Lytechinus pictus: one gene and its partner. The protein of the gene in region 2 purifies or fractionates together with the protein of the main gene of each other region. This does not show direct contact. Links are inferred from orthologs where the notes say so. Each region holds a gene or a part of one and is shown on either strand. Other genes may lie near its edges.

Evidence for each region.
Region 1: the proteins of exportin-6-like (region 2) and zinc finger matrin-type protein 2-like purify together in Homo sapiens (co-immunoprecipitation; 3 studies listed by BioGRID and IntAct, with this or other methods). This does not show direct contact. The link is inferred for Lytechinus pictus from reciprocal best matches to the Homo sapiens genes XPO6 and ZMAT2.

The regions. Positions count from the first base shown.
Region 1 is NW_026974140.1:2,205,869-2,223,267, forward strand, and holds the start of zinc finger matrin-type protein 2-like, read right to left. Parts: upstream 8,192-17,399; 5' UTR 5,445-8,191; intron 4,790-5,444; 5' UTR 4,668-4,789; coding exon 4,586-4,667; intron 4,288-4,585; coding exon 4,142-4,287; intron 1-4,141. UniProt on the Homo sapiens protein: Involved in pre-mRNA splicing as a component of the spliceosome.
Region 2 is NC_087254.1:15,840,216-15,857,127, forward strand, and holds the start of exportin-6-like, read left to right. Parts: upstream 1-7,249; 5' UTR 7,250-7,267; coding exon 7,268-7,704; intron 7,705-8,101; coding exon 8,102-8,228; intron 8,229-8,877; coding exon 8,878-8,990; intron 8,991-9,638; coding exon 9,639-9,747; intron 9,748-10,252; coding exon 10,253-10,345; intron 10,346-10,946; coding exon 10,947-11,016; intron 11,017-12,359; coding exon 12,360-12,519; intron 12,520-14,062; coding exon 14,063-14,155; intron 14,156-15,061; coding exon 15,062-15,215; intron 15,216-16,912. UniProt on the Homo sapiens protein: Mediates the nuclear export of actin and profilin-actin complexes in somatic cells.

The DNA of each region.
Region 1 (17,399 bases), on a different chromosome or scaffold from region 2:
CAATTCTTCAACATCTCTTGCTCAAATTTGGTCTATTATATGCATTTATTTTGGGTTCAGCGATGATTGTTGTAACGTCAGTGGTGATGGGATTGACAATGATTGTGAATATGAGACAGATGCAGATATGTCTGTTAATAAAGAAAGTGAATGTGACCCAGATGTATGTGAGCTAGTTACAGGTGAATCAGGAAATGAGTTCATAATGTACAATGAGAATGTGCAGTATGACTATGAGTATGAGACAGGCGTGTGCGAGCTCCGAGTTAGTCAACTTGCTGAGGAGAGTTGCGCAAGCCTTTGTGATTTTCTGATTGAATCTGATCAAGTCAATGAAGACCTTCTTGGTAACTGCAGTGTGACATTTGGCAGTGTATCCAGCAATATCATAGCAAATATTCCAGGCATTAATGTTGTTGGTTGCTCATCGAAGTCAGATGAGATATTTGACATTCCAGAGTATGTCCATGGTTGTGGACCAATAAGTGTCCCCCATTCTGAGCCTAGATTGACGAGTGCTGACACGCCAGTGAATGACTTTGTTGTTCTTGTTGACTTTTCGGGTGACTTTCTAACCAATCCGGGTTGTGGCTCATCAGAGATAGATGAGGATAATAATGACTGCAACGACGAGTTGCACGGTGAATCTTGTAGCAAGGATGACCTGCAGTCCCATCGTGCCTGTCGCGTCGGCATCGAATGCGCACGTGTATCCAGAAACGTTAATCTCAATCAAGCCTCTAGCAATGATACAAGTTATGCTCATGACAGCCGTCTCGATGATATTAATGCAGTCAGTGACACGTTACCTATATGTTCTCAACCAGACGGATCAGTTTCTCAGTTACATCTGTTGCAGGATGTTGTTCCAGACGCTGTCGTACCAGGGTTTCATCCAGTCCCGAGTGATGAACTGCAAGTTCAAGTGTCTTCATCAGTTGGCCCATCGAGAACCATGGACCCAGTTCACATGGTAAAGACGCTCAGACTGATCCCAACAGATGATGTGAAACATCCTGCTCAAGACATTCCCTCGGACATGGCCACCAGTCCTTCCCAAGTGACTCTCCTTCACGTCCCTAGAGAGAGGGCCCTAGCTCCTCCCAGTCGCCCTCCTGATGCCCCCGCAACAACGACCAGTGCTGACTTATCCCACACCCTCTACAATGATGGCAGTGATCACTCCCGTCTTAAGCTTTCGAGGACAATTCATCCTGTTAGCAGTAGCCGTGAAGCGTCAGTCTCTGCACCGGTCGGTGACTTTCGATCTACTTTGGATGACGCCCCTGTCAGTTGCCCCGATGTCCATGCGCCCCATGGTCGCCCACCGGATGAGTGCTACAGCGGTCTGGCAATCCCAATCATCTCTTTCATCACATTGAAGACCCGGAATTGTTTCCTTAGCCGTCCGCTGGCTAATGTGTCATTGCTCCATCCTGACGCGTTTATGGACAGTCATTCCCACAGACTTGTCGTACCTACCTTGACATTTTTGGCACCTTACGTGATGCAACCTGACCAGATGGTGCCTCCCTTACATTCCAACGTACAAGGTCCTGAATTAGCTCCATTCAAACAGCAGACTGTTTACCTCCCAACACCTCCCCCTGCCCCTCCGTTCCCTTACAGCCCACCCCCGTGTCCCATTCTTGCTGTGTAATTGGCCATTCATCCTCAATCTTTGTGAGTCTTCTGCTGAGCTCATAGGACTATTTCTTGACTATGCTTATTTGGACTCATAACTCTTTTCTTATGTCATTTGTACGCCTTTTGTTTTGAATGATTTGGTTTTTTTACTTTTTTTGTCAGCATTTAAGATGACTTGTGATACACTTGATATTTTCTTGTGCATGCCCCCCCCCCTTTTTTTTTCCGATTGCTGTCCATGTAATGTTCCCATCATTTGTTTTTCTTTGCATAGATTTGGTATGCTTATAAGACAATAAAGGACGTTAGACTGGTATCAATATGATTTTGGTTTTGTAATATGTTCCGATGATTGTTGATGTTTATGACGAATGTGATATTTTTATCATTGCCCGCTGTTTATCATTATGTAATACTGCATTTTTTAATGTCAATCAGGTTATTGAAACTATTTGTGATTGCAAATCATATCAAGTCATGTTACTTTTAACGCTTGTTGCCTTATATGATGTTTCAATAGTCTGTCGCCGTCATTTGAAGAATAACTTATTGGGTTTTGTATGATATTATTTGGATATTTGTCTTTAAGCTTAGTTTGAAGCTCAATTTTTTAGTGTTTTATTATTCATGCACTTGGGACAAATACTTTACACATACCTTATGCATGCTTTATGCATTTTCCTTTGAATTGTTATATTTATGAACGGCATATGGATAATATATGTAAACGTGTTTTTGCTATTGCTCTTTAACGATATTTGTTTGTATGCTCCTTTACAGGGATGCTAAAATCATTTTCTTTTTAATTTCTTGGTATATTTTTTTGATTAGTTCATAGAATAGTGGCAATGGTTTTAAGCACTGTCAGTTTGAGTCAAAATGTTTAAGTATTTTCATATAGCTTACATATGTACGAAAAAGTTTTGTATCTTGAAGAGTCACAATGTTTAGTATTTTCATGTAGCTTACGTATACCCAGAAAATTAGAGACAAAGGAGTTAATATGGCAGAAAGAGTTACAAAACGTTAAATGTATACAATATAAGGCTGTCGGAAGATTGTGTGTTGTTGTGTGGTAAGGGAGCCATGCCTTTAATTTGTGTTTAAATTTGGACTACTTTTGACTACTTTGCGCAGAGAAAAGTTAGCATACTATGTGATTGCCCTTTTGAGTCTGTTTCATTATTAATGACTATATGCGCAGAGAAAAATTAACATGTTGTATTACTGTTTTAATTCAGTTGAATTTGAACTAATATTGGTGAATGTATATTAACAGAAAATGAAACAAGCTGCGCAATTGCTTTATGTTGAACTAATATTGATGAGGGTATATATACAGAAAATGAGACAAGCTGCGCAATTGCTTTATTTATTTGTTTATTATTATTATTATTATTATTATACTACATGCTTGAACAGGTTTAGTAAAAAAGATTTTGTTATTTACATGTATTTCGTTGATTGCATCAAATGTGTACAGCATGCATATTGTTATTTTCATGTGAAGAGAATTCTTGGTAAATGTATTTCTTGGATTGTCACACATATATAGAGATATGTAACTTGTTAGTGAAAAGGTGCAAAGATAGCGGTGTAAAAACTTCTACTGTTTGGAATCGAAGTCGACCAAGGCTTTAACTTAATCGTTTTCAACAGAATTTAGAAATGTTAATTGTGATGTTTTGGATTGTGTTATAAGTACATTGTTTCAGTTTTGCTTTTTGCTAGAGGTTTAAAGTTGGAGTTATGTACCATTTATGATTGTACACTGTAATCTATAGTAATTATAACTCAAGATCGAAGGTAGAATACCTCAGGTATAATTAAGTTTCCTACTACTATATGCATGTGTTTGTTAATTTAGGAATTATGATTTATCGATCAGTGAGGGGAAAAGGAAAAATGGATCACGCCAATATATGTAATTTTATAGTCGGCTATGTTCAGCCTTGGTTCCAATAAATGATAGAATGACTTTACGCAAACTTATCTGATGTGTTAAATTCCTCTGCTTTGGCGAAGTGTATTTTATACAGGAAATCTGCAAAAACCATGGACTCAACCGTGGGTTTTCAAAACCACCTTTGTGAATTCGGGCCTGTATGTTTCATTTCATCCAACATTTTTATCACTCCTGAAATCAGAAGTAAAATAAAAGTGTAAATTTTCTAATGGTGGTGGCAATGGCAAAAGCAGCATCGTCAATATCATATCTTAAGCAAGGTTAAGCTTTTAAAATGTCATCACAAAGTGTAATGACCTATTTCATGAAATTTGAACACAAGGTTATTCAAGGGTCACTGGTCATTTAAATTACATTCAAGGTTAGATTAAGGTCAAGGTCTTTTGGCTATTTGTATTCAGCTCTCTTGTATAAAGCTACAAAAGAGATGTTATTACATCTTCACAACATAATATGTAAGAGCTTGATAATGGGATTTCTGTTAATACATATCCACTACACAAAAATCCATGACATTCTAAAACTCACCTCTTCTTTCAGTTCTTGTAACCTGGCTTCAAAATCATAGTCCTTTTTCTTTTCTTCCACTTTTTTCTTGTTCATCTCAAACCGCTTTTTGACTTGATCTAAAGATGACCTCTCGACATTCATTGACATTCCTAAATTTCTTTGATCTGTACAGAATGAAAGGAAATTATTATAGGAGTTTAATTACATGTATCAATACAATTAATTCAATACCACTTTACATACATACCAGTATCATATATCATTTATTTCATAATAAATTAAACTTCAGTTCATGAGGATGGGTTGATAATTTGAAACTTTAAATTGTTCTCATCTGGGATCTTTAATTTTGTTTACTTGCACTAGATTTCATCATTAATGCTTTTAAATCTGGCAAGTATTGTTCATATAAACATATAGATCAGTTGGCACCATATAGACTACAAAGATCAATTGACTTACGTTTTTTGCCATTTATGTGATCCAGGAAGTTGATGGAGTCTTTAACAACACAATCACAAACATCACAGTAGTATCCGCCCATCTGAGAGGAAGGAGTTGTCTTGGTGATGACCTGGGACTTCCCCAGCTTTGAGTCAAGGTCAACCTTGTAATCACGCTGCTTGAGAAGCTCACGCTTGACAACAGGCTCTTTTCTCCTCCTCTCTGAAACATTATGAAGAATGATAGAAACATTTGATTTCATTATTTTTAAGTACAGGATTCCTTATGTTTAGACCAGGGGTTCGCTTCATAAAAGTTGTTATGAAAATGAATATGTAAACAGTTAAAAGCTACTGAAATCGTTCAATTTGATTGGCTGATAGTAAACTTGCTTATGATACAAATTATGCATTTGTAACTAGTCTTTGTTAAACAGTACCCAGCAGATGCTGTATGACTGACACCAAATGGACAAACCCAAGGGGGCTACCCTTGCACAAAATAAAAACCTTTTTGAAAATATTCTTTGGGTTATTTTGTCAGTCATCTACTCACTTGTCAGAGATTTCTGGGACAAAATTTAGAAAGAGTTTTGATTGATCGGAATCAAACTAAAACCGACAAAGAGATTGATCTCATTATGGAATTGTACATTCTTTCAAAATATCAACTTGAGTTCAATTCAGATTAACTTCAACCCTCAGTAGGAGACGGGCGGTGTGTGCCCTTTATAAAATCACACCATCATGATGAGGTTGTGAAAAGTGGGCATCAGGCCCTACATAAGAAGTTGAATTACAATAAATTCTACATACTCTCACAAGGTGTAAATTCAACACCACAAACACAAATTTAAATTAAATGGTGACTATGTTACCTTTCTCAGCCTGAGCTTCAAGCTCCTGATCCAAACGTTCCTTAGCAAGCTTCTCATACTCATCTCGGTCCCACTTTCTCCTGTGGTCCTCAACTCGCTAAAATATAGGAAGGCATTAGTAAGCATAGTTATTTTTCCTTGAAGAGTAAACTGCCCAGAAATCAACGTGTTAAGCTTTTTGCAATCATTTTTGTTCTAAAATGTCTTTTCACAAAATGAAATTTGCATCATTGTTTGTTAATTATATTTGTCTATTTTTAATTGCAATGTTTATCTTCTCTATTCTCAATATTTAGTAAAATCTTGAAATGTAACACCATGACTGACAATCTAACACTGATTCTAGGGAGGGTACCTACTGAACTTACTTTTTCCAAATTGGAAAGATATATCACCACTATGGAACCATATTTTTACTGGCGGAAGAATTAGGGTCATTTCACTCTCTCAAGTGATGAATTTGGTCCCGGCAGGTGTAGTCTTCATAAATGCCGATTTATTTTTTAAATGAGCCGGTCGAGGTACCCTTTTCTGGTCAGATATGGAATGTCAGACATTTATCCTATCCACTGGTAGTAAACATTCAACCCTCGAATTTCCTCCTTATTTTTTATGAATTCTTTTTAAGTGCCACTTTAACACACGAGTCTATGGGAAATGAAATAGGCCTGTGAGCCCTATAGCAAGACTATAGGCCTATTACAAGGGGAATCCCGTAGTGGATGAAACACCAGCCCAAACTCTTCAGTAGCAAATTATTTTCAATTAGTATGCATATTTTTAGCCATCAAGAGGTCCAAAAACTGAACTTAATGGTCATGTGCAAGGCTACAGAGGTGGTATATCAGGTAACAAATTGTGATTAGTAGATCATCTGTGTTTGTATACCGAGGCTAGGCTGTTTTGTAGGCTAACCTTAGTCTCTGCGTTGCATGTTTTCGTGTGTTCTTGTATACCAACGAGCACTGCTGTATTCGTGTATAGCACCCATTTCAGGATACTAAACATTAGATAGGCTTTGATCAATTGCAATTGTGAAATTGCTTCATGGGAAAGGGATGGAGAACAGAGAACTTTAGAATTTGACTGAATAGTGGTGGATTCAAGAGGGAGGGGGGGGGATAGAGAAAAGCATGGTAAGTATGTCTGGGGGGGGGGTGCTGAGAATGAGTGCTACTGCTATCTTGTTCTAACTTTTATTTATTTCTAGCCAGACTAGTCCCCATTCCTTTAGAATACAAGCCATCTAACACCCCTCTCTCCCTCTGTCTCTCTTACACCCCTTGTCATAGGAAGATGTGAATGTATAGTATGCTTGTATGTTAATTCTCATTTCTTTTTATTGTTACATGTATCTCATTTAACTCATGTGAATCTGGTATTTATAATTGTGGGCAGTTCTTGTATCCAGATATGCACACTATGCACATCTACAATTTTGTATTATAGGATGTTGGGCCCTACGTTGCATCCATTGTTGAGCTATATATAGGCAGGTAGGATGTGTGTAAATCCATAGGACACTAGACATTAGGAGTAACATTAAAATTGGTCATTACATAACACATCTGTATATTTCATGCATTTCTTTTTGATAAAGTGAGTGTATAGATGCTTAAGAAAAGCCAGGAAGGTAAATTAAAAAAAAAACTTAATGTGCCATATAATACAGGTCGCACGGACCTAATCACAACTGGCAGGCCATAGATATTCATTCGAGCCAACCCATTGCTCAATTTTTTAATTTGATATTGCTGATTGACAACAAGTGGAATGCCTCTGGCCGTCTCACCTGCATCACGCGATTCAATATAGCAGCAGTGCTGATTTTGAAAACTACTATAACTTGCACAAGATGTTCAGTGATACTTGGTTACTCGTATTTCCACGTTTTATGAACTAGACCAAATACACTTATAGAGATATGATGGCAATTCAACAAATACCCCCAACGTGGCCAAAGTTCTTTGATCTTACATGACCTTTGACCTTGATCATGTGACCTGAAACTCGCACAGGATGTTCAGTGATACTTGATTACTCTTATGTCCAAGTTTTATGAACTAGACCAGCACACTTTCAAATTTATGGCTGTAATTCAACAAATACCCCAATTTGGCCAAAGTTCATTGACCCTAAATGACCTTTGACCTTGATCATGTGACCTGAAACTTGCACAGGATGTTCAGTAATACTTGATTACTATTATGTCCAAGTTTCATGAATCAGATCCATAAAATTTCAAAGTTATGATGGTAATTCAACAGATACCCCCAATTCGGCCAAAGTTCATTGACCCTAAATGACCTTTGACCTTGGTCATGTGACGTGAAACTCATGCAGGATGTTCAGTGATACTTGATTAACCTTATGTATAAGTTTCATGAACTAGGTCCATATATTTTCTAAGTTATGATGACATTTCAAAAACTTAACCTTAGGTTAAGATTTTGATGTTGATTCCCCCAACATGGTCTAAGTTCATTGACCCTAAATGACCTTTGACCTTGGTCATGTGACATGAAACTCAGGCAGGATGTTCAGTAATACTTGATTAACCTTATGGCCAAGTTTCATGAACTAGGTCCATATACTTTCTAAGTTATGCTGTCATTTCAAAAACTTAACCTCAGGTTAAGATTTGGTGTTGACGCCGCTGCCGCCGCCGTCGGAAAAGCGGCGCCTATAGTCTCACTCTGCTATGCAGGTGAGACAAAAATGAATGAATATGACTGACAATCTAACACTGATTCTAGGGAGGGTACCTACTGAACTTAGTCGCGAAACTGGCCCCGTCCAATTCGCTTTTCCCAGCATTCGCGAGTGTGTGGGGCTCGGATGACGGCTATTAGTATACTCGTTATCGAGGCCCCTTACACTGTTATATCATGGAAAGTAACGTGGTTGTGGGACTTGTTTCCCCGGCCGGTGAGAATTATCATGGGCGGCGCTAGGGGGGGGGGGGAGGGCCTCCAATTTATTTTCCAAATAAACAAGGAGAGAGAATAAATATGTGTATGTATTTATACTTCTCCAGAAATTCATTTGTCGATTTACTTATATATTAATAAAGTTATTAATTTTTATTTATTTATTTATCAATCTATTTCTATTGATTAATTAATGTATTTTATTCATCATTTAATTTATTTGTTTTCAGTTTTTTTTTCTTTTGTGATATAGAGAGTCAGAGGTATCATTTTTTTCTATCTATTTTAATTGATTAATTAATCATTTAATTTATTTGTTTTCAGTTTTGTTTTCTTTTGTAATATAGAGAGTAAGAGGTATCATTCGTTTTTAATTCTTTTTATGTGTGGAAGTTCACTTATTTCAATCTATTGTAATTGATTAATTAATGTATTTACATTTATATATAATGTATTTATATTTATTCATTAATCATTTAATTTATTTGTTTTCATTTTTTTGTCTTTTGTGATATAGAGAGTCAGAGGTATCATTCGTTTCTAATTATTTTTATGTGTGGAGGTTGAATACTAGTGCCGATGGATTGAATACTAGTGCCAAAAACCATCGCCGTATAATTCGATCACCCGCTCACACAGTCGACGGGTTGAAGAAAAAAATAACGGAAAAAGAATAACCAGCATTTGCTCTTGGAAATAAGATGGGTCTGAAATTCAGGTTTATTCTATATTTCTATATATTTGAGGAAACTCTCTAAACGGGTTGAATACTAGTGCCCTTACGGTATACTAATAGCCGTCATCCGAGCCCCACACACGTGCGAATGCTGGAAAAAGCGCATTGGACGGGGCCAGTTTCGCGACTATCTTAGGATGCAAGCTTAATAATATACTTGTGATATAGGCCCCGCTACTGTGTTGGAGTGTCTGAAGTGCCGTAGTGCGGGGCCTATATAACGGTTATAGTATATACTCGTGAAACAGGCCCCGCGAACGGACATTCTGAGCCATTCAACACAGCAGCGGGGCCTATCACGAGTATATATAGTGAGCTGAAGTTAGCAACCTAGATATTGAGGTATGATCGATTACAAATTTTTCTCGAGCGAGGCCTATATCACGATTTTGCCGTAAAATGTCATAAATTGGGCATAATCGTGATATAGTCCCCAAATCCCAAAATGGGGATTATTAGAATCACACCTACCAGAACGCATGAAAATATGTGGAGGTCGTGTACACCCAAGCAAAACATCGCCGGCGAACTCGATAAGTCATGTGACCGCCGCCATTTTGCTAGGTCAATTGTTCGAGAACGCGCCGTAGAAGGCAAGATGCAATATGTTTTCTCTATGTATTTCTAGTTCAGTGGTTGAAGCGGGACATTTTAGCACTTTTTAATCTAGCACCGCTCATGATTTTGCCGCCCTCTATACGCGTCACGTAACTAGGTTTCATTAACAAAGGATCAAAGATGGCGATGTCAACAAGCGTAAGTAAACTCTCTTCTACTTTTATTACTTCATATAATTTATTCGTCATTTTGTAACCATTACTATCCATTTTTTGCCAAACGCACTCACACGTATTGCGAGGTTAGTATTAGTATACTAACCTCGCACCACGAACCGCGTTTGGCAGTGGATTTCTAACTAGTGGGTCGCGCGTGCTGGGATCTCACTTCTTGGGTCCACAACACACGACTTCTATGGCTTGAATTTTCTGTGCGCGGCGGCATGTAATGAACCCTTGGGTGTGCCAAACGTTGCCAACCAATATTGTTACCCATGACCACCCATGGGTTCATATCATCTCGCGTGCGAAGGAATATCAGTCATATGCACGTGACACACACGACAAGTCAAAAAGATAGTGGGCTTTTGCCCACATAAAATATCACCAATAATCTGGTATTTCACATTCTGCTATGACACTTACCGAATCATTTAGATCCTTCCGTGACTTCTCCTTGAAGTTTTTTCTTAAAAATATGTATATTTTCTTGATCTTTAGTGAAGATTTCACGGAGATAAAATTTGGTCAATTTTCGCCTAAAGAGGGCGCGCGATTTATATTATATCAAAGACACGACAAGGGAAAGATTAGGAACCTACACTATTTTACACGCAAATCGACGCAAGGCATTACGCGAAGTCCGTGAAGTGTCCAATCTTTTCATTGTATAGACTTTGGTATACCGTGACGTTCGTTAATACTGCTTGTACTGCTGGTTTCGTTCCAGGCATGTGTATTTAAAAAAAAAAAATTATATTAGTCATCGTTTTAAATTAATTGCAACAAAAGTGTTATCATCGCCAATAGTAATCCTGAATTATGTTTTTGAAGGTATTTTATTTATTGGTGCCCATAATTAGTAAATTAATCATAAGAATTGCGCATTCAAAGAATTTAGACACAGTTATAAAATTACCGAGGAGCTGAATCAAGGTTGTGAAATTTATGAGCGCCACCAACGGGCTTCCTTGTATTTCCGTAGAAGAGACAAACGAAGTCACTTGCTTGGCCGAGGTAAGCGAAATTTGCTCTTTTTAAATGAAATGAGTTAAATATCATATGTATAATTTTGTTTTGTATTGCTACTTACCGGAAAGAGTTTGTCTGATGTGATAATTATGTATATTATAACATATTTAAAAAAATACAGGGGGGACCTGATTTCGTGGGGGTGCTCTCTGGGTTAGAGTGAACCATGACATGTACAGCAGTCATCTGGTCGTGACCACTCTAAGCACCAAGGCTATTAATTCCTGTGTTAAAAAAGTGAGTGCACGCGAATTAAATGTTGGACTTAAATTACTAGATCTTACCATGGAGCTCCATGACGAAATCTGTTCTTAAATTAGACTCTAGATATTACTAAATTGAAAAAATGTATAAATAGTACTCGCCTGGTCTTTTCTTGGGGTATTGAAGCCTTTTTGTCCAGAACTTGCTCAACTTTTGCGGCAAATTTTGTTGCCATAGGGTTGTGCACATTCTCGTTTAATACTGGTTGTCACGTGACACGGCAATGTCGTTAGGCTGTTTGGCCTGTATTCAAGGCGTTCTATCCGTTATGATTTTATATTGAATGAAGCTAATTCCATCAGGTATAGGCCCCTATCAAGTCAAAATCGATACAGGGATCGAGAGGGGGGGGGGGTGGAGCCAAAAATTTCCAAGTCACATGGTATGAAAATGATATTTTTTATGATTGTCCACGATCATAAGGGCAAACCCGTGTGTGGCAGTACGGTAGCGTGATGAGTAAAAAAAAAATAAAATAAAAGAAAGAAAGAGGGCCAATGTAGGCATACATGGCGCGTGGGAATAAAGTTGCTTTATATGTTCCAAGCGAGTGAAGCAAGCGAGAAAAAAACTTTTCGTGCAAATCTAAATTTGAGATAGATATCTTAACTTACACTTTTCCTTTTCTTTTCATTAATTCCCTTCATTTCTTTTTTATCTTGGTTGTAGAACTTTTGGGGGCCCCTAGGCCTAACCCTTCCATCGTGTACCCCCAGTGCAATATCAGCAGGTGGGTCTCGATAACTCTGGATATTTAGCAATTAGACCTATTTATAGAAAAACATAACGTTAATGTTTTGACCCCTTCCCCCCCAAAAAAAGGAAAGACAATTATAAACTAAGTTATATACATCCCCCTTTTCTCATTTCGCTTTTTATTTTCTCTATTCCCTCCTTATTTTTTTTTGGGGGGAGGGACCTTTTCGGGGGGCACCGCCCCTAGCTACGCGCCTACCAGATGAAGAGGCGAGCGAGCAAAACCTTTGTCACTTTTATTACAAATATCAATTTTGCAATAGATTTTGACATAACATTCGGAATTATTCTCGCATGCATTTTTCTTTCCTTTTGCTTTTTTATGGCCTTTTATTTCTCTTCCCTTTCTCTTTCTGTCTTTCTTTCTTTCTTTCTTTCTTTCTTTCTTTCTTTCTTTTCCTTCCTTCATTCCTTTTCTCTTATCCCGTTTTTTTTTTGGTGAAATCCACTGGACCGGGGATCAAGGGCCAGCCTGCATGCCCCTGGCGGTTTACGCCTCTGCCGTGGATGTAAGCTATATATACGCATGATCTTAATCTTCATTATGATTCAAACTATATAGAGGCGCATCCAAGATTTTCCAAATTAAGTAGGGGGGGGGCGGGGTGAATTTTCTCAAGTAAAATTTGACAACTCCCAAAAAAGGTTCTTACTAAAAAAAAAAAAACCGGTCATTATATTGTCTCGCGTAAAGTTTGACAAGTTAAAAAAAAATGGTCACTCAAAATGAAAGTCATTTTGTCCGCGTAATATTCGGCAAGCCCCCCCCCCCCCCACAAAAATAAGAAAAGGGAAAGTCATTTTGTCCACGTAATATTTGGCAACCCCCCCCCCAAAAAAAAAAAAAAAAAAAAAAAAAAAAAAAAAGGTTTTAACTATAGCAATGATCGAAGGTCATTTTGTCTCGCGTAAAATTTGACAATTTTTTTATAAAGTTGTCACTAAAAAGAAGGTCATTTTTTCCACCATTGATTATATTTGGCAAGCCCCCAACCCCCACCCCCATAAAAAAAAGTTTGTCCCTAAAAGTGATGTATACATGTAGAAAGTCATATTGTTAATTTGTTCCCAGTAAAATTTTGAATTTGGCAATTAAAAAAAAAGGCAAAAAAGAGAAAAGAATATGAACGAAATATCCCCATTACAAATAATGCTGTACGTGATTCTCATGAGGGGGGGGGGGCACATAACTAGTATTAATAACATATTTAATTCCAAAATGTTTACTATAAATCTCAAAAGGGGGAACGGGCAGAAATGCTCACCCCAACCCCCCCCCCCCCCCCCCCCGCCACTGATTCCAATCAATAATGACTTTTCTCTGCAATACTGATGCTTTGAAATCAAGATACTGAAGATTGATACGCTTAACATAAATTATGAACGTCTGACAAAAAGATAACCAACCGATCACCTGACCGATCAGCTGACCAGTACGCGTATCACTTCGGAGTTGATCACTCGTCGCAGCTGTGTGGAACGCTCACCGAAAATCAACAAAAAGGGCCTGAAATGTAAGTTTAACAATAATCGATTTTAATTTCAACTATTTTTACAACTAAATAAAGGTTTGCCGTCCGAATGAAAGGTATATCGGATAACTCTAACTTGTATTAAGGTGTACATTTACCAAAGTCTTGGGTTGGAAATCAGAACAGCATTGTCCAACCCATAATTTGGGTAATGTCGCCTATGAGGTCCATACATGTTAATGTTTGGACCTCATTGGTACTAGGAGTGGTCGTGACCTCAGATTCTAAACATAACTAGCAGTTTGGCGCATTTTTATAGTTGCCTTTTCCCTCGGTACGTAGGAGTAAGCTTGTAACCGATTTTGCAATTGGCAACCGATTCCATTCGATTTCACCACAATCGGCAATCACTTGCCGATCTTCGATCATGCCCCTTGAAGGAAAAAATCGAAAATAAAAAATTGGCGTAGATCTGGTTACAGTGCGTGATCGCTCAGAACATATTTCAAGATTGTTTTTGAGGTGCTAGCTATTTAGAGGTCGCATTATTCAGGGAGAAAGACGCGGTATTATCTATGGCGATGTTTAAGAGGATAGATATCTTCTCTTCCAACTCATGGTGATAGCGGATGCCGCCGTGAACTTTGAAAGGTCGTATTACCGACGGAGCTCACTGCGTTACTCTCTTACATCGTTTATGATTATATACATTTTATTTTCAACCTCGTGGTGATAGCGGATGCCGCCGTGAACTTTGAAAGGTCGTATTACCGACGGAGCTCACTGCGCTACTCTCTTACCCCCTTTATAATGATATAAATCTTCTCTTCAACCTCGTGGTGATATCGGACCCCGCCATAAACTTTTAAAGACTGTACTATTGACGGAGCTTATTGCGTTACTCTCTTACATCGTTTATGATGATATACATTTTATTTTCAACCTCGTGATGAGAGCGGACCCCGCCGTGAACTTTTAAAGATTGTGCTACTGACGGAGCTCATTGCGTTACTCTCTTACATCGTTTATAATGATATAAATCTTCTCTTCAACCTCGTGGTGATAGCGGACCCCGCCATAAACTTTTAAAGACTGTACTATTGACGGAGCTTATCGAGTTACTCTCTTACATCGTTTATGATGATATACATTTTATTTTCAACCTCGTGGTGATAGCGGATGCCGTGGTGAACTTTGAAAGGTCGTATTACCGACGGAGCTCACTGCGCTACTCTCTTACCCCCTTTATGATGATAGACATCTTCTCTTCAACCTCGTGGTGATAGCGGACCCCGCCGTGAACTTCAAATTGATTTGAAAACGCTAGCTACCCAAAACATTTTAATAACATATTTCAAATCATCGTGCGTGCTTGCGTCTTCTACTTCATTTTAATTGCACTTGCGACTTTAAGATGATGCGTCGTAAGAGATCATTCCAATAATTCTAAATCGCTAGCACCTAAAAATACTTCTAAAAGATGTCCCGCCGATCGTTCATTAACCTGTGATCTATGAGAAATATTTTCATTTTATTTTCCTTTGCGCCTTTGCTCGGAAGATGCGTCTTTCGTTTATCTTTCTAATAAAAATCACTCGGTTTATTTTAAAGCAATAACACCTCAAAACCCCTGGCTTAACATGTTCCAAACGATCGCGCATGTTGGCGACTTCCATTCCAATGCATTCGTCTTTGTGACTTTGTCAGGAAGATGCGCGCGACCGCAAACAACATTTTGATGTATTCCTTTGTTTTTAAACATCGCCGATTCGATTTTCGATTCGATTTCTATTTTAGAAGCTTAACTGCCGATCCGATTTTCGATCTGATTTTTGATCCGATTTACAACATTACGTAGGAGCCTATACATCACAATGCCAGGCGTTAGGGGAGTGACCATACGTACAGTATATTACTTTCACTCCCCAGTCCCAGACGCCTCCAGGCTATGTCAGACTGGGTTACGTATTGAGGAGTTCAACATACCGGTACACAGAATTCGGCGAGTGGGACAACGTTCCAGTTTACAAACAAAGCCTGGCGATAACTTCGCCAATCAAAAAACCACGCAAGTCGTCTACGACCGAGAATTAGAGCATATAACGATGACTTACGAAAGGTTTCATACATGACGATATAGCTATAATCATATGATATATTCAAAGAAATGTATACTTACCGAACCCGAGCTTGTTCCAGCGTAATTCATCGCCATAGTTCACAATTATTTCGGCGAAATGAAAATGAAACATTTATTTCCAATTCCCAGCCCTTACGGTATATACGGTATCCGAGAAAATCGAAAGAAATATAAAAGTAATGACAAATTGATCTACATGTATATCGTCTTTGACCAGGGACGTGAGAGGTCAAAAAGGTTATTATGTTAATCATTTGTCTTAAACCAGTTCATATTTATGAGGGAAACTTGGAGCACTTGTCCCTGAAAAGTTGCTTGAGCCTTGACCGAGAAAATAGCACTGGGAAAACTTGAATATTATCGGCCTATTATAAATCAGGGGCCGCAGAACGGTTTTCAAAGTGGGGGGGGGGGGGGGGGCTGAGCCAAAAGTGGGGGGGCTGACCATGCTAAAAATCACAATCATATGGTCATTTTTAAATTTTTGTACATGGTTTTGGAAAAAAGTGGGGGGGCTGAAGCCCCCCCGGTTCCGCGGCCCCTGTAAATATTACGTAATTGTTTTCCGGATTAAAAATTTAAAGAATTCCCACGAGGCAAAAGACAAGGTTTGTCCACATCAAAATTATTTTTTGTATATCTGCCTTATCGTAGAAACCTTGCTTTCAGTTTCAAAACATGCCCCAATAGCAAGGCTTCACACTCTTTTTCTTGGTGGCCCAATCAGTCCACCAAACTCACCGCAAAGCAAGTTTGATGGCCCTAAATATATAGAGAACATTGCAATTTATAAAAACTTTGGTAGCTTGACGGGAACACACAGTGTGGGCTTCTACTGAAGTTTGGTAGCCCGGCTCTCAATTTAGATTGCCCCGGGCAACCGGGCCACTGCTCATGTCAAGCCCTGCGAACGTGCAGATATTTTTGACATGCATGTGGTTAAAGTGACTACAGCTAGTGCTTGCTTGGGTGTATGTATTTCAATTTAAAGGGGAAAATCACCCTGATGTAAAAATATTAGAAATACAAAAACTGGTGGTTTGAGAAAAATCCATCAAAGATTGGGAATATGTTATTAGAATTTTAAATTTTGTGACATCATATATGAGCAGCTGCCCCATATGTTGTGTAATATACAATGTGTGAATTTCAATTTTTTAATGGTACATGATAATTTAAACCTTTCTTGGTTCATGATAGATACACATCATTTAAATGAAGTGTCGTTAAAGATATTAAATTGTGCGTTGCCCCCCCCCCCCGGATTAAAGACTAATTTTTCAGCTAATCAAAACCAAAGAAAGTTGACAAAACTGACATTCTGTCAGAAATTGAATGTTGATAAAATGCCCCCCCCCCCCCATATTGTATGAATCAACATAATTATAGGCCTATTCTGTTATCAACTTTATATATTTTTACATCAAATATATAGAAAACAGTGGTTTATATTTTTGCATATGCATTTCAAACCAAACCAAGCATCTTAGCAAACAATATAACACCCATATACAATCAACATACTAGTACTTCACATACAGCAAAGCAAACTAAAAATCCACAAAATCAAATTCTTATACATATTTTTTATTATTGGTATGTAATTTCACTCATGCTGTATCAGTATGGTGAAATCACAACATATTGAATGATTTGACATAAAATGTTCATTATGTACTCTGAGAGAACTAGGAACTATTAGACCATAAATGATTGTCCCCAAGCAAGAGTCTGCAATATTTCTTCATTCTTACTGATCTTCATGCTTGGGTTGAGGATTCAGTGTCATGATGTGCCATCTCAGGAAACCTTCTATCAATATAAACTGGGCTCCAAAAGAAACTTATCA
Region 2 (16,912 bases):
TTTATATATTTTTTCATATACATTTCTTTTTTGGATATATTTATATATATCACTTATAGATACATATTTACACTTACCTTCTTCTCTTAGTTTGTTTAATGCTTTATCATATATACTTATATGTCTTTTGCACATTATCAGTTGTTCCCCATTCTTTTTCTTCTTTTTTTTTCCCCCACTCTTATGCACCAGTTTATTAAGCCTTTCTTTGTAACCTGTTTGACCCACCTCTCACTAATTCTCTAGTTATTCATCCCTCTATCGCTGTTTTGTTCCAGATCCTGTTTGATGTTGCCTGCCTCATTATCTTAATCCCTCTTGGCCTTACTTATACTAACTTCCCTTTGTGTCTGCCTACTCCTTTTCTTTCATCCCCTTCACTAACCTGATTGGTCTTCTCTACTCACTAATGCCCCTTTTGTCTCCTTGTTTCTAGTGTTGCTGTAGCTTGTTTGTGGTCTATATTATGGTTGTTCCACTTTATATGTTTGTCATTTTGCCTCCGACGAAGATTCTGCTAGGATCGAAAGCTTAGGCCCCCTTTTTGACTTTATAATTTACTCCATTGGCTCTCTTTTATTAGATATAAGCAGTTTTCAGCAGCTTCTTTTTGCCACCATGAGTATTAGTGATGATTTTTGGCCTTTGCATAATTCTTTTCATCAGTACAGGAGGCAAAAATTGGCTAGTAAGTCCTAATACCCCTGAAGTTGAAAATGTACTAAAATTTAATTACCACTGATCCCTAATATTTTGTAAAATTCTGTTTATTTATGGTAGAGCCACTTATTACATACTATATACTTGTATTTTATTTGATATTATAGACGTAAAGTACTTAGTTTGTGTTAAGTATCAGAGAAGAATATATAAACAAGCTTTATTGAGGCATTTCTTCAGTCATAAATGCCTAAAAATAACATTTTCCTTCTCAAATGTCAGAGGCGTAATTCCGTTACCATTATGTGTAAAATTCCGTTACCATGTACTTCCCCAAAAGAAAGACCAATCACGAAAATTTGTTGATAATATTTGTGAATAAATTACTTTCAAAATAAAGTTGACATTATAATAAATTGAATCAGACATTAGCTTGGAGCTAGTGTGTTGTAGATTTCAGAGAAACTTTTACTAAACTTTGGGTTGCAAAGTGACTCATTTCTCTGGTAATTCCGTTACCATAGCACATATCCGTCATTCACATCTGAACGTGTGAGGGGTTTTCTAAAAATCTTGGTTCAGAATATAGCACAAGTGGCCATGCATAGTATTAAGTTTAGAAAATGGGAAAATATTGAGATATCTGGATGCTGTGAGAAAAAATAACAGCCAAAATTCTCTGATTTGTAATTCCGTTACCATGGAATTGCCCAAAAGGCACTAGAACAGACTAGACGTTATGATCTCCATGACGACACTGTAGAATTAAATGTCCGCAATAACGTCCTCGTAACAATTATGTATTTTACCGTATTTAGTTTTATATTTATTTCAAAAACATATCAAAATCTTCTAATCGTTCTCAGAAAAAACGTTTAAATCACAATCAGGCTTTACGTTTATAAAGTGATCACCGTACGTGATGTTTATGGCTGCTCTCTTTACTTCAGACGTTTTTAAAAGACAATGTCTTCCGTAACTTCGCACGACTTTTACACCATAATTTGTTGCTGGTGATTCTTTAGATTTAGGTGGTTGTTTTATTCACATGAATTCATGAAATAGTGCTTTCAAGCAACTTTGATTTTCTGTTCTAGAATAAAAAAAAACAATCGAAAGATATAAAAACTACAAATTAGACGTTACGACTTTGACGATGGACATTGCCAAAAATGTGTCGCATATATAATTTTAATAATGCTTGAAATTGTCTTTATTTTCATTTGTTTTACCTCGCAATAAACTAGTATTCAAGAGTTGAAAAAAAATTTTAATTTAGGCATACAGTATCAAGCGATGCACGATGTGACAAGTGTCCTTTTAAGACGTTATTCATTCTTTTTAATATTCCACAATGTCTCATATAAAATCCAGGATTTTTGGAAAGTGGCGGCTAAATTTTTTGACATCGAGGGCTGCGAAACGGGATGAAAGTCGGGGGGGGGGTCGACCATGCAAAAAAAAATCAAAATCAGATGTTTTTTTCTGATGGGATAAAGCCATACCAGCGCCCGCCCCCCCCCCCCCCCCCCCCCCCCCGTTCTGGGACCCCTGGTATCAGCGGCGGTTTGGATTTAGGTGCCCAAATTATGTCAATGTTGTGTGGCCAATGTTGTAATTCGAATTGTGACAGAATTCCATTTTCTTCTCTTTTGACAATAAAATTATAATCTTGCTTTAATCAAATGTATTTTATTTTATTTTATTTTGGATTCTGAAACAAATGTATTGAATAAACATATTTTAATGGTTCGCTACCTAAAAAGATATTTTATACGGTTTCATTTGTTCCTGAATGTACCATGCGGCGGATCCGGATATGACAAGGGGCTCAAACTGATGACTTCCCAACAAAATTGATATTTTTTAATGTTCTAAAACTATTCAAGTTGGTTTTTGGACGTTTTGTGTAAACATTTTATGGACGTCAAAATGTGGTAGGTTTTAGACGTTTTAAACACCTTTTTTTAAACGTCAAAATAACCCCCTCCCCCCAAAAAACATTTAAAAAACTTTCGGAAGTTCGATGAGATGATGATGGTGATGATAATGATGATTGATGGTGATGATGATGATAATGACAATGAAGGTAACAATTTTGCACAATGGAGATCCGATTAATGGTCGTAATGACAAGAATGATGTGAAATCATTTTGACAAGCTTTCTGCCTTTTTATTGCATCCCCGATTTCCTATCAATTATCTTTCAATTTGTATAAAATATGTGCCAACAAATAATATCACTTTTGTTTAAATTTATTAGATTTTTATTCTCATTGTTATATTCTCGATCTTTGTCTGATGATTATTTTATCACCCAGTACTTTTAATGAATTTGAAATAAATGCTGAATTGATATTGACAACTCATTGTAGCATGAATATTCGGCATTATAGGCCTATGCAATAAAAAAGATGGTTCATTGAGGGCAGAAATTCTGTCAAAGGATGCAATTATAAACGATACAAGACACAAAATTATTTTTTTTAAGACACATCAGGCGAGACTTTTTACCTTTTATTATTTTCTTCTCCAATTTCATTCAAGGATTTCATCACGAAATTGTTATTTAAAAAAAAGACACATCACGCGAGACTTTTTTCCTTTTATTATTCTCTTTTCCATAATTTCATCACAGCATCAATCAATCAAAACATTCACAACCTAATAATGATAAAAAAATTAAAATAAAAATAATTCTTATCAGGCGCTTTTCCAAAAGTTGAAAAGTGCTATACATCAGCCATTAAAAACAAATTGATTGCATGGATGTAACCACGTTATTTTGATATTGTTCCTATTTTCAATCAAATTTATTTGTTTATTCTATACATTATATTTCATTAGTTACTTTTAGTTCTTTCGTTAGAATTTATCTTTTTCAATTTTATGATTATCAATTCTCCCCCCCCCCCCCGTAATGTTACCGTGTCATTAATTTGCGTTGAAACAGTCACATCGTTTGAAAAGCCGAGAAAATTTCCTTTTCTTATTTTTTGAAAATTTGTTCCTTCATTAGCACCGTAACGTCTCAACTTGGGACACGCGAATTGTCTTTGCCACAGCGAAGAATTGCTGCACAAAACTCGATGTTTCTGTCTTTTATTTACTGGTATTTCATCAAATATCAGAGATGTTTGTCATTTAAAGGCACTTTCAAGTCATATTTTGGAATTATGCAATTTATTTCGATATCGCTTAGAGTAACGTCCCAACATACCGGCGTATCGAAGATTGCGCTTGCTACTGAGCTTGGCAGCGCAAACTAGTGCTTCGATCACCTCCGAGTTTCTTCTATGATCGACTTTATGCGTAAAAACAACGAAAATTTTCCTTATTTATTCATTTTTATGCATGTCCACTCGGGAAGAGTAACGTCCCAACATTTTTAGAAATCAGGTGATATTGTGAAATAGACATGCCAGCTTATCTTTTCCTTATCTGAACCAGTTTACCGATGTGTTGGCCTATCTAAAACACATGAAAAACCAAGCCGAGCGAGTACTTTATTTTTCGACCCCTTTGTCCAAGTCTTAACCGGAATGGCCCATTTGCAATCAACCACAGGACATGTGTGATTGATTTGGGGACCACAAATAGTTTTGCAATTGATTGCTTGCAACACCCCACTAGGCCATGAGAAATGTGTATATCAATGATTATTATACTGGTGGTGGTGGTGGTGGTGGTGATGATGATGATGATGGTGGCGGTGTTGATGTGATGATGATGGTGGTGGTGATGATGGAGGTGATGATGGTGATGGCGATGATGATGATGATGACTATGATGATGATTATGATGGTGATGATGATGGTGATGATGGTGATGGCGATGATGATGATGATGATGATGATGACTATGATGATGATTATGATGGTGATGGTGATGATGATGGTGATGGTGGTGGTGGTGGTGCTGATGATTATGATGATGATGATGATGACTATGATGATGATTATGATGATGGTAATGATGATGATGGTGATGGTGGTGGTGGTGCTGATGATTAGGATGATGATGATGGGTATGGTGATGCTGGTGATGATGACGATGATGTGGACAGCATTCACAACAACAGAAATAAGAATGTTGACAATAGTGATGATAATGACATTTACAATATATTGTATTGGTGGTAATGATGATGATGGTAATGGTGGTTTTGTGATGATTGTGGCGATAGGTTTTACAGCACCATTTACCTGTGGATGATTCAAAAGTGATATACCCTTTATTATTTGGAATAGACAATATATATTATGATATATGTTTTTTTGTCTCACCTGCATAGCAGAGTGAGACTATAGGCGCCGCTTTTCCGACGGCGGCGGCGGCGGCGACGGTGGCGGCGGCGTCAACACCAAATCTTAACCTGAGGTTAAGTTTTTGAAATGACAGCATAACTTAGAAAGTATATGGACCTAGTTCATGAAACTTGGCCATAAGCTTAATCAAGTATTGCTGAACATCCTGCCTGAGTTTCCTGTCACATGACCAAGGTCAAAGGTCATTTAGGGTCAATGAACTTAGACCATGTTGGGGGAATCAACATCAAAATCTTAACCTAAGGTTAAGTTTTTGAAATGTCATCATGACTTAGAAAATATATGGACCTAGTTCATGAAACTTATACATAAGGTTAATCAAGTATCACTGAACATCCTGCATGAGTTTCACATCACATGACCAAGGTCAAAGGTCATTTAGGGTCAATGAACTTTGGCCGAATTGGGGGTATCTGTTGAATTACCATCATAACTTTGAAAGTTTATGGATCTGATTCATGAAACTTGGACATAATAGTAATCAAGTATTACTGAACATCCTGTGCAAGTTTCAGGTCACATGATCAAGGTCAAAGGTCATTTAGGGTCAATGAACTTTGGCCAAATTGGGGTATTTGTTGAATTACAGCCATAAATTTGAAAGTGTGTTGGTCTAGTTCATAAAACTTGGACATAATAGTAATCAAGTATCACTGAACATCCTGTGCGAGTTTCAGGTCACATGATCAAGGTCAAAGGTCATGTAAGGTCAAAGAACTTTGGCCACGTTGGGGGTATTTGTTGAATTGCCATCATATCTCTATTAGTGTATTGGTCTAGTTCATAAAACATGGAAATAAGAGTAACCAAGTATCACTGAACGTCTTGTGCGAGTTATAGTAGTTTTCAAAATCAGCACTGCTGCTATATTGAATCGCGTGATGCAGGTGAGACGGCCAGAGGCATTCCACTTGTTTTATATTTAAATGTTTTATTTATTGTTTATTATTTGGGTCGGATATTCAATACTGAATAATGACTATTGAAATAAATGATACATGGCTAAAGCCATTGGGCCTGTGGTTTAATCTACACTTTGAATGAAAGAGTATGAATTGGTCATGTGCCGGAAGCAGTATGATTTTGGTCACATGCCTGAAGCAGCCACCCCTCACCTATACTCTTTTAAAGAATGAGTCACTTCCTGAATTATAATACACTTTTTAGAGTTTAAGGTTCCATTGAATATGAGAAAAAAATCTACATTTTAAGCAAGTTAAAAACATGAGAGAAACTGTTATTTGTTGTGAAGTCCTTCCCGTTTTCCATTTCCCCCTCTTCTGGGTCAAGAGTGGTAGGTTAATGATTTGCCGCAGTATATTAGTGTAATTCATTAAAACTAAATGTCAGCATTTAGATATTCTTTCACTGATTCATAATTCAGGGAACATTTTTCATGGTATCACATGACAATTTGCTCCACATTTTTTTTATGACTGCTACACAAAATTTCCTTTGTGTAGCAATTTTTTATGAATGAATGTACAGAACAGATTTGAAAGCTTATCTTTTCCAACCAGAAGAAATTATTCCCTGTAATTTACATATCACACTATTTGATTTTTCATAAAATGTATGAAAAATCTTTGTATGTTAAAAAAAAGAAAAAATTGTGGGGTCATGGTTGAATTCAGTCTTGATGATAAAGAGAGGAAGAATTTGTTCCTTTAAAAGCAGTGTGCTTGTGATGGTTGTGAGATGAAATTATGATTGCTAGGCTTATATGTATATGTAATGATTAATATTGGTTTACATACTACACCTGCAGAAACACATTAATATTATAATAATAGTCATATTTTAAGAAACACTATTCACATTTGTACCATAGGGATTTTAAAACAGTTACATTGAACACAATAATAGATAGAATTAACATAATTATAAACCATACAATAATTCATGCATTAAAGGGACAGGACTTGAGGAGCTTCTTGAAAGTAGGGGTACTGGCTATTTCACAAATATATTTTGATATGTTCCAAATATTGGGCGCTGCTCTTCCAAAGCATTGGGCGATGAGTGTGAAGAGGAATCTAGGTTTGACTAATTGAGTCTTGTCATTTGCTGATCGGAGTGTGCGTTTGGGTGTATAGCCTGATAGATTCATAAAATATTCATGAAATAAATGTAGTTTGGTGTATGGAAAGTTTATGTACCCATTCATTTGAGTTACATGGAATTGTTTGATCATATCCATTTACAACTTTGTTTTTTTTAACTTGAATATTTTGCTCTTTTGTATTTTCATGTTGCAGGGAGCCACATCATCCGTAGCATGTTCAAGTCGTCACCTCCCAACAAACACAACGTCCAACCCCTCCCTCCTCTGGACCAGGAGAGCGAGCATCTCAGCACATTGTGTCTTAACTGTCTCCTTCATTTCTTCTCATGGATGCCACTATCCGGCAACATCACCCCCAGTCTCATCACCGTCATCTTCCACTTCGCCAACTTCGGCTGCGACATCCAGTCGGTCAGCCGCGGCACGTCGCCCGTGCGGGCCAACGACAGCTTCAGCGCGAGCGGGAGCTCCTCGCTGGGCGTCCTGGCCATGTCCTGCATCAACGAGATCATGTCCAAGAACTGTGTGCCCACAGACTTTGAGGATTACCTCTTGAGAATGTTCCAACAGACTTTCCAGCTGCTGCAAAAATTAACCAAAGACAATACAAACCAATCAGTAGGGAATAGGTTAGAAGAGTTAGATGAAAGGTGAGTGAAGAAGGACGTTCTTCACCAACGGGAGAACTGCACACAGTGTGTACATCTCATGTGTCATATGTTCCTTGTACTGATTCATCCATTATTGTTGTCTTTGTCCAACGTAGAAATTATTGATGTTATAGTAGTAACTTTGTTGAATGTTAATCATTTGAAGAGAAACAGTAGGGATAATTATGATTGATTTTGATAGGGAAATGTTGTTCCATCAACATTTCTTGTGGATATTAATCTTGTGTTTATGTATGAAATCATTGTCATTTGATGAATTATGTAGGAAAAAAGGATAAACACTGTTACATTATTCTACATCTCAGAATGTTAGCTCCTGCAGCAATATTAATGCAAGCCCACCTGCATTTTCTCCATCACTCTTCCCAATGTGCAGTTATGTAGAGAAATTCACAGAGTTTTTAGGTTTATTTGTCAGTGTTCACCTCCGCCGGTTTGAGAGCAACTCCCATTTTCCAGTGCTTGAGTTCCTATCCCTCCTCTTCAAGTACACATTCAAGCAGGTAAGCAGCATTCATATCACATATTCTCAAAGACCTCGGTCCCGTAACACAAAGGTTAGTGATTTATCCTAGGATTGATTTTTACGATTGATTTTACATTGTAGTCAATGCGATCAATCGTACAGATATTCATCTACGATTGATTGCTAAGCTTTGTGTTATGGGCCCCTGATGTTCTCTACCATTGCTGAAACAGTGTTGAGATATTTTCTCAAATTGACAAAGAGACATGCTTATGCACACTACACAGAAATATTAACATGGGACCACTCAAATATATATTTTTTCATATATATTTGTATGTTTTATTGAACAAATCAAATAATCATTATATGCAATTTAAACAAAAAGAAAATAAGGAACCAAAAAATAGACAAGTAAAGGCAGAGTACTAAAGTTTAAAATAAAATTGCAATTTGCCTTAAAATGATAAAACCAACCAGATATGACGTGGATATAGAATGGGGAAAACTACATGAAAGTTGTGAACAATATTTCTAAGGTCAGTTTTCACAGACATGTAAATAAACTAGGATGGGGTTTTCTGATCGTAGTAGTAGAATAGCCCCTGAAGAAAATTGTATAGTTCACCCAACTAAACAAAAGCCAAGTGTGCAGTACTAATTCTCTGTTGCAATTTTCTTTTCAGCCGGAGCCAGAAGGTTACTATTCTTGTTTAGACATCTGGACCATATTCCTGGACTATCTCATCGACAAGACCAACTCATCAAGAAACCCTGAAATGAACCACTTTGTAGACAGGTCAGTCAGTTAATTGATTTATCCAGCTAATGAATGATGCAATATCAACAGGGTCCCTGTTTCATAAATCCTTGTTATAATAAGAAGTGAACAGTTTCTGTAACGAATTTGCCAATCAGATCGAAGGATTTCAGTATTTTTAACTATTATTGCAAATAGGATATTATTATTATATGTTTTATGAAACCGGCCCCAGATTGAGATTTTGAATCAGTCTATTTGTTGTATGGGAAATGTAGAAATATCATTACTCGTCCAATTGCGACCTGCCACCCCCAATCAACATTAAGTCGATAGGGAAGGTTCTCTGAAAATAGCACCAAAAAAAAAAGGAATTTAGTCTTCAAAAAGAAGAATAATTCTTCTTTGTACTGTCAAAATTTGAAGTTTTGAGGTTAAGTTAAAAAAAACAAGATACAGGGGTTTCTTTGACACCAATTTTTCTTTGAATGGCCAAAACATATTTTTTATCTCATTTCTTTCCAACTGTAACCATTTTGATTTCATATTTTTTGGAAAGGCAAAATAAATGAAACAAAAGTGCCCTGTAAGTTTGAAAGATATGATATTAACCTTTTGTGAAACATGGCACCAAACCAATTTTATACCAGTTTTAACCAATTGCTATTGCGTCCATTCCTTGTTTAGATACAAAGATGCATTAATATCTGTGATGTCTGAAATACTGCACAAGTTACAGTTTAGATACAACCAGGCACAGCTCGAGGAACTAGATGATGATAACGTTTATGATGACGTAAGTTTCCATTAGAAGATATGTACCGACAAAAATAGTGATATTGACTCTTTAGTATACCAGCAGAAAACAAGTTTGTATGCTATTATATTACTTTATATTATCGGTGTGTAGCCTTCGAAATCTTATGACTAATGTATGTTTAGCAATTTCAATGGAATTGAAAGCACTGAGGAATTTGTCTTCTAAATGATAGGCTAATTATTGGCAGCAGAATTGAAAGCTTACGATTTCATGGCACTTTTAAAAGTAAAGATTTCTTTTCCTCAGAAACTTTGATATTCTTCCTAATATAAAGACAGATAGCATATTTTCCTAATGATGTTATGAGTGTTTTGATTATTTAAAAAAATAAATTGCCTGGTTGACCTCATCCAACCAACCATAAAATGCAAAAATCGGGGTCACTTTTTTAATGCAGACCCTAAAAATGCAAATGCAATGTTTTAATGGAAAATGTCAGACTTGGTCAAAGAGATAATAAGATATTTGCTTTGATTGACAGTGTGAGACGGAATGGCAGTGCTACCTCAGACAAGGCTTGGAGGTCATTGCTAAGATTGCTGAACTCTTACCTACAGAGGCGTTTAGTTTAGTGGTAAGTGAAAGAGGAATGTTTGTTTGAATAATGAAGGAGAAGATACGGCCATACCTGTCTATAAAGACCGTCCTAGGGAAGCAAATGTGGTTTTTGTGAGCAGGTGGTCTCTATGGGATGGATTCCTGTAATACGTGCTTCAGTGCCAGAAATCATTTAAGGAAAACCAAAATTGTTGACTTAATAGACATGTGGTTGGTAGTGCAGGTTTGACTGTAAATTCACTATCAGTATGTATGAAATCAATGGTGTAGTGGGTTGATAATGATGTCGACAAAATCCTAGTACATAAGCGAACGGCAAAGTACTTGTGAGAAAAGGAGATTACCTCGTAACCGTTCATATGTCTGAAGGATAGACTCTCTGAGCCATCTAGGTTACCGCTTAGTGTTTGTGATTATGAATATCGTCACTTTATGAAATGTGCTTTTTTAACTTTGCGAATTCGGTTGTTTTTTGGGGGGGTCTACATATACTAAGAAAGATTAACTCATGTAGTTAGTATTTCAAGTAAAAATGAAAAATAATAAATAAAAAATTAATATAAAATAAATAAATAATAAATGAAAAATATATATATATTTTTTTTCTTTCTATCAAGTACCCACCATTCCAAGAATATCTGACTGTGTACCTGGGTCTCAGACAGTATGTGGTTGATATCCCAGAGGGTAAGTTCAATCTTCTCTGTCTCCTCTTTTCCACCACCCCCCCCCCCTCAATCTTGAAGTTCTTTGCATGTGAGGGGTAGGGGTTTTTCTCTCAGCGACGTACAGAGAAGTCAAGAACAGAGAAGTGCATTGTCATATGCCAATCATGACAACAGCAAAGAAGACTTTGTTGAATGTTGGTGGATCAAGACAGCAGTTTCATCCTTGATTCTGGACAAACGACAAATTCATAATTTTTTTGTCTGATCTGAAACTTAGGACGAAACTGGTGTTCTGTTTCACAAATTTTTGACAAAGACCTCCCAGCTGCTCATGAATCTTCTGTACGACTCTTGAGTATATCATGAAATCTTTTTTGCAGGATTTTCTGCATTTATTGGAATAATATACAAAAAAAAATTTTACAATGCGTGAGACATAATCATAAGATAGCATAAAGTACATAAACAAGTGACAATCTTATATATAAGGACTGGAGAAAGACATAAATACAATATAGAAAAAATGTATGCTTGAAGCATAGCAGCCAAAAATGGGAAGGCTACCATGGAAACCTTAGAAATTGATTGTGTCTGTAAGAAAAAAATTCAATGTCACGAATCATCAAAGAACGGGAAAAAAAGTAGAAATTGAAAAATGAAGTGGGTGCAAGTGCAGGTGAGAGATTTATGAATATCTGGATAAAAGGTATTTTTTCAATGAAGCTTTGGAAGAAAAGACAGATGCAGTGAGTTTAATATGATTGGGTATGTTGTTCTATATATATGGGCCGTGGTGTCTGATATCTATTCGTTCAATGTGAACTTACACAAAGTAGGGAAATATTGACAGGTAATCAAATTTATCCGCATTTTCATGAGAGGATGTAAGCAGAACGACCCAAAGACCAAACCATGTGACTTTTTTTGTCCCCACATGCTCAGATTGGTAAATTTGTAGATGTTAGATCTAAACTTTGAATCTCCTGTCTTTTTGGACAGAAATATTACATTGTTTCACTTCATTTTCCATTCAAATTAGAAATATTTACTTGTGAAATATACATCCTTAATTCATTTCAAACCAGTATGATATGAATTAAGGGGATGGTTGGTCAGTTTTAACATATTTTTTGGTCACTGTTTCCCAAAATTTTTAAATGTTTAGCAAACTTTGTTGATTTTTTTTGTTTTATCGGTTGTTTAAATGTTGGTTAAATGTTTTGACTCAGGCCTAGTAAAAGGATAAAGATAATGTTTTTATCTCCCACCCTCCCTCCATCTCTCTTGCTTTCTTCTCCCTATTTCTCTCCCTCTCTGTGCCTCTCTTTTTCTCTCTCTCCCTCTGTCTGTAAAACCTTTCAGGTCAAAGGTTGAATGTCAACCAGGAGAACGAGTGTAGGAGATTACATTGTACTCTGCGAGACCTTTGTTCCATGTTCCAAGCATTAGGAAGATTAGCAGAGCACTTCATAGGAGACAAGTTCACAGAGAGGTTCGATAACGCCCTCTCATTAATAGAAAGGTGAGGTTCAGATGGTTTTATTAGGGAGAGTTCACACTGCGATGCAGAATCAATCCTAGCATGCAGCAAATGAAAATGCCAGCTAAATCACAATGAAAACCTGGGAGGTCTTTGTCGAAGATTGGTAAATAGCAACAGCATTTTTGTCCAACGTTTCGGAGCTGACAAAAAATTGCTAATGTGTTGTTTGTGCAGAGTCACGAATGAAAGTGTTGTTTCAATTCACCAACCCTTGACAAAGATTTCATTATCATGTAGGGCAGTTGACAATAAATTCTCTTTGTGTTCCAGTAAGCGTCTGTGTAGCTGTTGCGAAATCTCCCTTTTGATTATTATAAACGTATCTTAGAAGGTTGACTAATTCAGTCATCTGATTGGTCAAAAGTGGGATCATACATCCAACCATGCCTGCAAAACACCAAACTTAGGTGGTTACCAAGGGCAATGGGTTTCATGGGGAGTGGATTAGTATTTGCTGACCCCAGACTTTGTGAAACCTTTGGAAATACCTATAACAGAGACATCACTGGGGGACAGCAAACTCTGTGTACCAGCGAGAAATTCTTCGCCAAGCCTTAATTCCTCTCAGTCAACTATCAAGCAAGGGACAGTGAGATAATGACTCTACCATAAGGGGTTTTCCAGTGGCATTGATTACATGATGTCTTCTTTTCATATAACTTGTTCTACCTGGTGTAATTTGTATCCAAATTTTCTCGAATCCCCTCTGAAAGCTGACGTTGGAACCACAGAAATGCCAGTTGTATCAGGCATAGTTATAATGGCATATGCATAGTATAATATTTTGATTACAAATAATTCACCTGTATTTTCTGATTGATCCAGTCAACCTCAACTTTATGGAAATCTTTCATAATTAATGAATTTTTCCTACAGGAAATTTGCACCATGTCCTTTGTAAACAAAGAGGAGCACACTGAATTGTCAAGACAACAATGAATGATGTCCGAGTATACATCATAGCTCCGTAGCACAAAGGTTTTCGATGAATTGCAAATATGAAAAAACCGCACTGATTGGCTCCCGGTCAGTATTTTAAACAGAGTGCGCGTGCAACCATCATCTTGATTGGTCATTGGTATTTAGCGAGTGATTGCAAACCTTTGTTTACAGAGCCCATATCAAGAAAAAGAATTGAACGAACATGCACTTTAGATGTTGGTATTGCTGGCTTTCCATAGTTGTGGTTGATCAGGGTCTCATCTTACAAAAAGTTACGATTGATCTAATCAATCTCAACTCTATGGAAATCCATCAATGTCATGATTCTTTTTTACAGGAATTTTGCGCAACTTCCTTTGAAAGCAAATAAAAGCACTCCAAATTTTCAAGAAAAAAATGAATGTGTGACTTGACATATCTAGAAAATATTTTGAACAAACATGCGTAATAGATATTGACGTTGCTGGCTTTCCACAGTTGTGGTTGATTGGATCAATAACATAAGTTTGTAAGACAGGAACTAGTGATGCATCTACTGTAGCAGCTACATGATCTCTTTCTTTGCTTGTTATTCCTGTAGGTTATGTCAAGCAGCAGTGTATGGCACCAATATGAAGCTATACAGAATGAAGAATGCAGCACCAACAGTACTCAAGCCAGACTTTGTAGAAACGTGAGTATCTAGATAGAGTAAATAATGTATTTAATGATGATGAAAACAATGCTCGTAGTTTTACACTTTTAACATTTGTATCGTAGTGCTTTAGAGAGATGGTCACTATAGGCAAGTGGCCACTAATTATTACAATGTAAAGTGCTTAAAAATACAATGTATGAAGCACTATAACTATTTTTATTATTATAATTATTAGTGCTTAACAAAAAAAGTAACTTTACAATATAAGATAACATTAACATAATTGTTATAAAACCATATAATAAAAATAAATCATGCGTTAAAAATAGGGACTGCAGGACCTTCTTTAAAGTAGGGGCACTGATAATTTCACAAAATACTTCCCCATAAACAATTAAAGTATCCATTCCATGAGTGAATAGCATTATGGCACACTTAAGATTTAACCTGTATGAGTAGTGTTTTCATTTGATTTGATGAGATTGTATGTTAGTCAAATGAAGCATATAGCAAACATCCTGTGAATGACCACCCAAAAAAATATCAATATGTGTCCTTAAGAGAAAGGTGATTGCTAGACTGGTTCTTATACACACAATCTACCAGTTTTAGTGTTTACTATAGACATTTTCTTGGACAAATTCTTTAATACCAACACTATCTTTCTCCATGGGAATCGGTTTTAGTGGTCACTATCGGCAGGTTGTTGCTATAGACAGGTGGCTGCTACAAAGAGGTGGTCACTATAGGGAGGCTGGACTCGTACTGGTATTGTTTCTTGCAAAAATATGGATGATAAATACTACTCTGATCTTCAGGCTCTCTCAATCGGCATACCTGAATAATGGAATAAATTATAAGATTAAAAATTAGTCAAAAATCGAATCATGGTGTCATGAAATACATTCGCTTTACATCCTGAACTTGTTTCATTAACTGCAGACATGCGCAAGCTTTAGCTGCCCTGAAGGCCTACAGTCATTGGTTAGCGCAGTTCTACAACGAGACGAGTAAACCCGGAAGCAGACATCATGATAAGATGTTACCCCTAATGACAAACTTGGTGGAAGCCATTGCACCTGAACTTGCCAAACAGGTCAGTAGTCTCATGGTGTGTAGTCAAATAGTGTGTGCGAATGTTGCTCTTTAGCCAGCTACACTGCGGCCTTAACTCGTTTCCAACTGGATATGGTGCGGCACGCTGTGGATATAAAATCTTGCCATCTATTTTTATGGCTCAACATGACAAGATAATCTTTCTCACCATTTCGGTGTACCTGTTTCAGAAGTCGACTTGGCGAGATGATGTATTTCGCCATATAGACATAAAACTATTGATCAAGTCAAATTGACGAAATGACGTATCTCGCCTTCCTTCCAGATGCAACCTCTTCAGTCCAATTATTTTTTTGGGAGGGGGTTAAGGGGGAATGCAAATACCCCCTTTAGATGTTAACCCAAGATTATCAACCGTTGTTACGATAAATATAAAGGGTGTCACTGTAACTAGATAATCACTTTGGTGCAGAAAATGTATGTACCCTAATGAATTTGATCACGCCACTTAGATCCACATACTTCTAATTTTATTATTATTTCACTTGAATTGGAGGTATTGATGCCAAACCTGCAAATACTGCGGCGGCGGCGTCAACACCAAATCTTAACTGAAGGTTAAGTTTTTGAAATGACAGCATAACTTAGAAAGTATAGGGACGTAGTTCATGAAACTTGGCCATAAGGTTGATCAAGTAATACTGAACATCCTGCTTGAGTTTCAGGTCACATGATCAAGGTCAAAGGTCATTAAGGTCAATGAACTTAAACCATGTTGGGGAATCAGCATCAAAATCTTAACCTAAGGTTAAGTTTTTGAAATGTCATCATAACTTAGAAAGTATATGGGCTTAGTTCATGAAACTTGGCCATAAGGTTAATCAAGTATTACTGAACATCCTGCCTGAGTTTCAGGTCACATGACCAAGGTCAAAGGTCATTTAGGGTCAATGAACTTTGGCCAAATTGGGGGTATTTGTTGAATTACCATCATAACTTTGAATGTTTATTGGTCTAGTTCATCAAACTTGGACATAAGAGTAATCAAGTATCACTGAACATCCTTTGCGAATTTCAGGTCACATGACCAACGTCAAAGGTCAATGAACTTTGGCAATATGGGGGTATCTGTTGAATTACCATCATAACTTTGAAAGTTTATGGATCTTATTCATGAAACTTGGACATAAGAGTAATCAAGTATCTTTGTAGATCCCGTCAGAGTTTCAAGTCACATGACCATTGTCAAAGGTCATTGAACTTTGGCCATTTTAGAAGTAATCATTAGATTGCTGTCATAACTTTCAAAGTTTATAGATATAGTGTATAAAATGTGGATATAGGGGTAATCAAGTATCACTGACAAGTTTTAGGTCACATGATCAAGGTCAGATGTCAATGAACGTAGTGTTGTATCATTATATGAATGGTGTTTTTTGTGAATAATTATTTTATAGTAGTTTTCAAAGTCAGCACTGCTGCTATAGTGAATCGCGTGATGCAGGTGAGACCGCCAGAGGCATTCCACTTGTTTAAAGAGACAGTCGTGTGGTCAAATCCCACCATGGCCCAGCAACCTTTGGCGACGCGTTAATTCTTGGCCACTAGGTTAATCAGTCATAGTGGCTGACCTTATAGACAACATATATTACTCTTGGGCCTTTTTTTTTCAAAGTGAAGACAATTGCAGGATGGGGATTCGAACTCACAACCTTGTGATTATGAGTCCAATGCTCT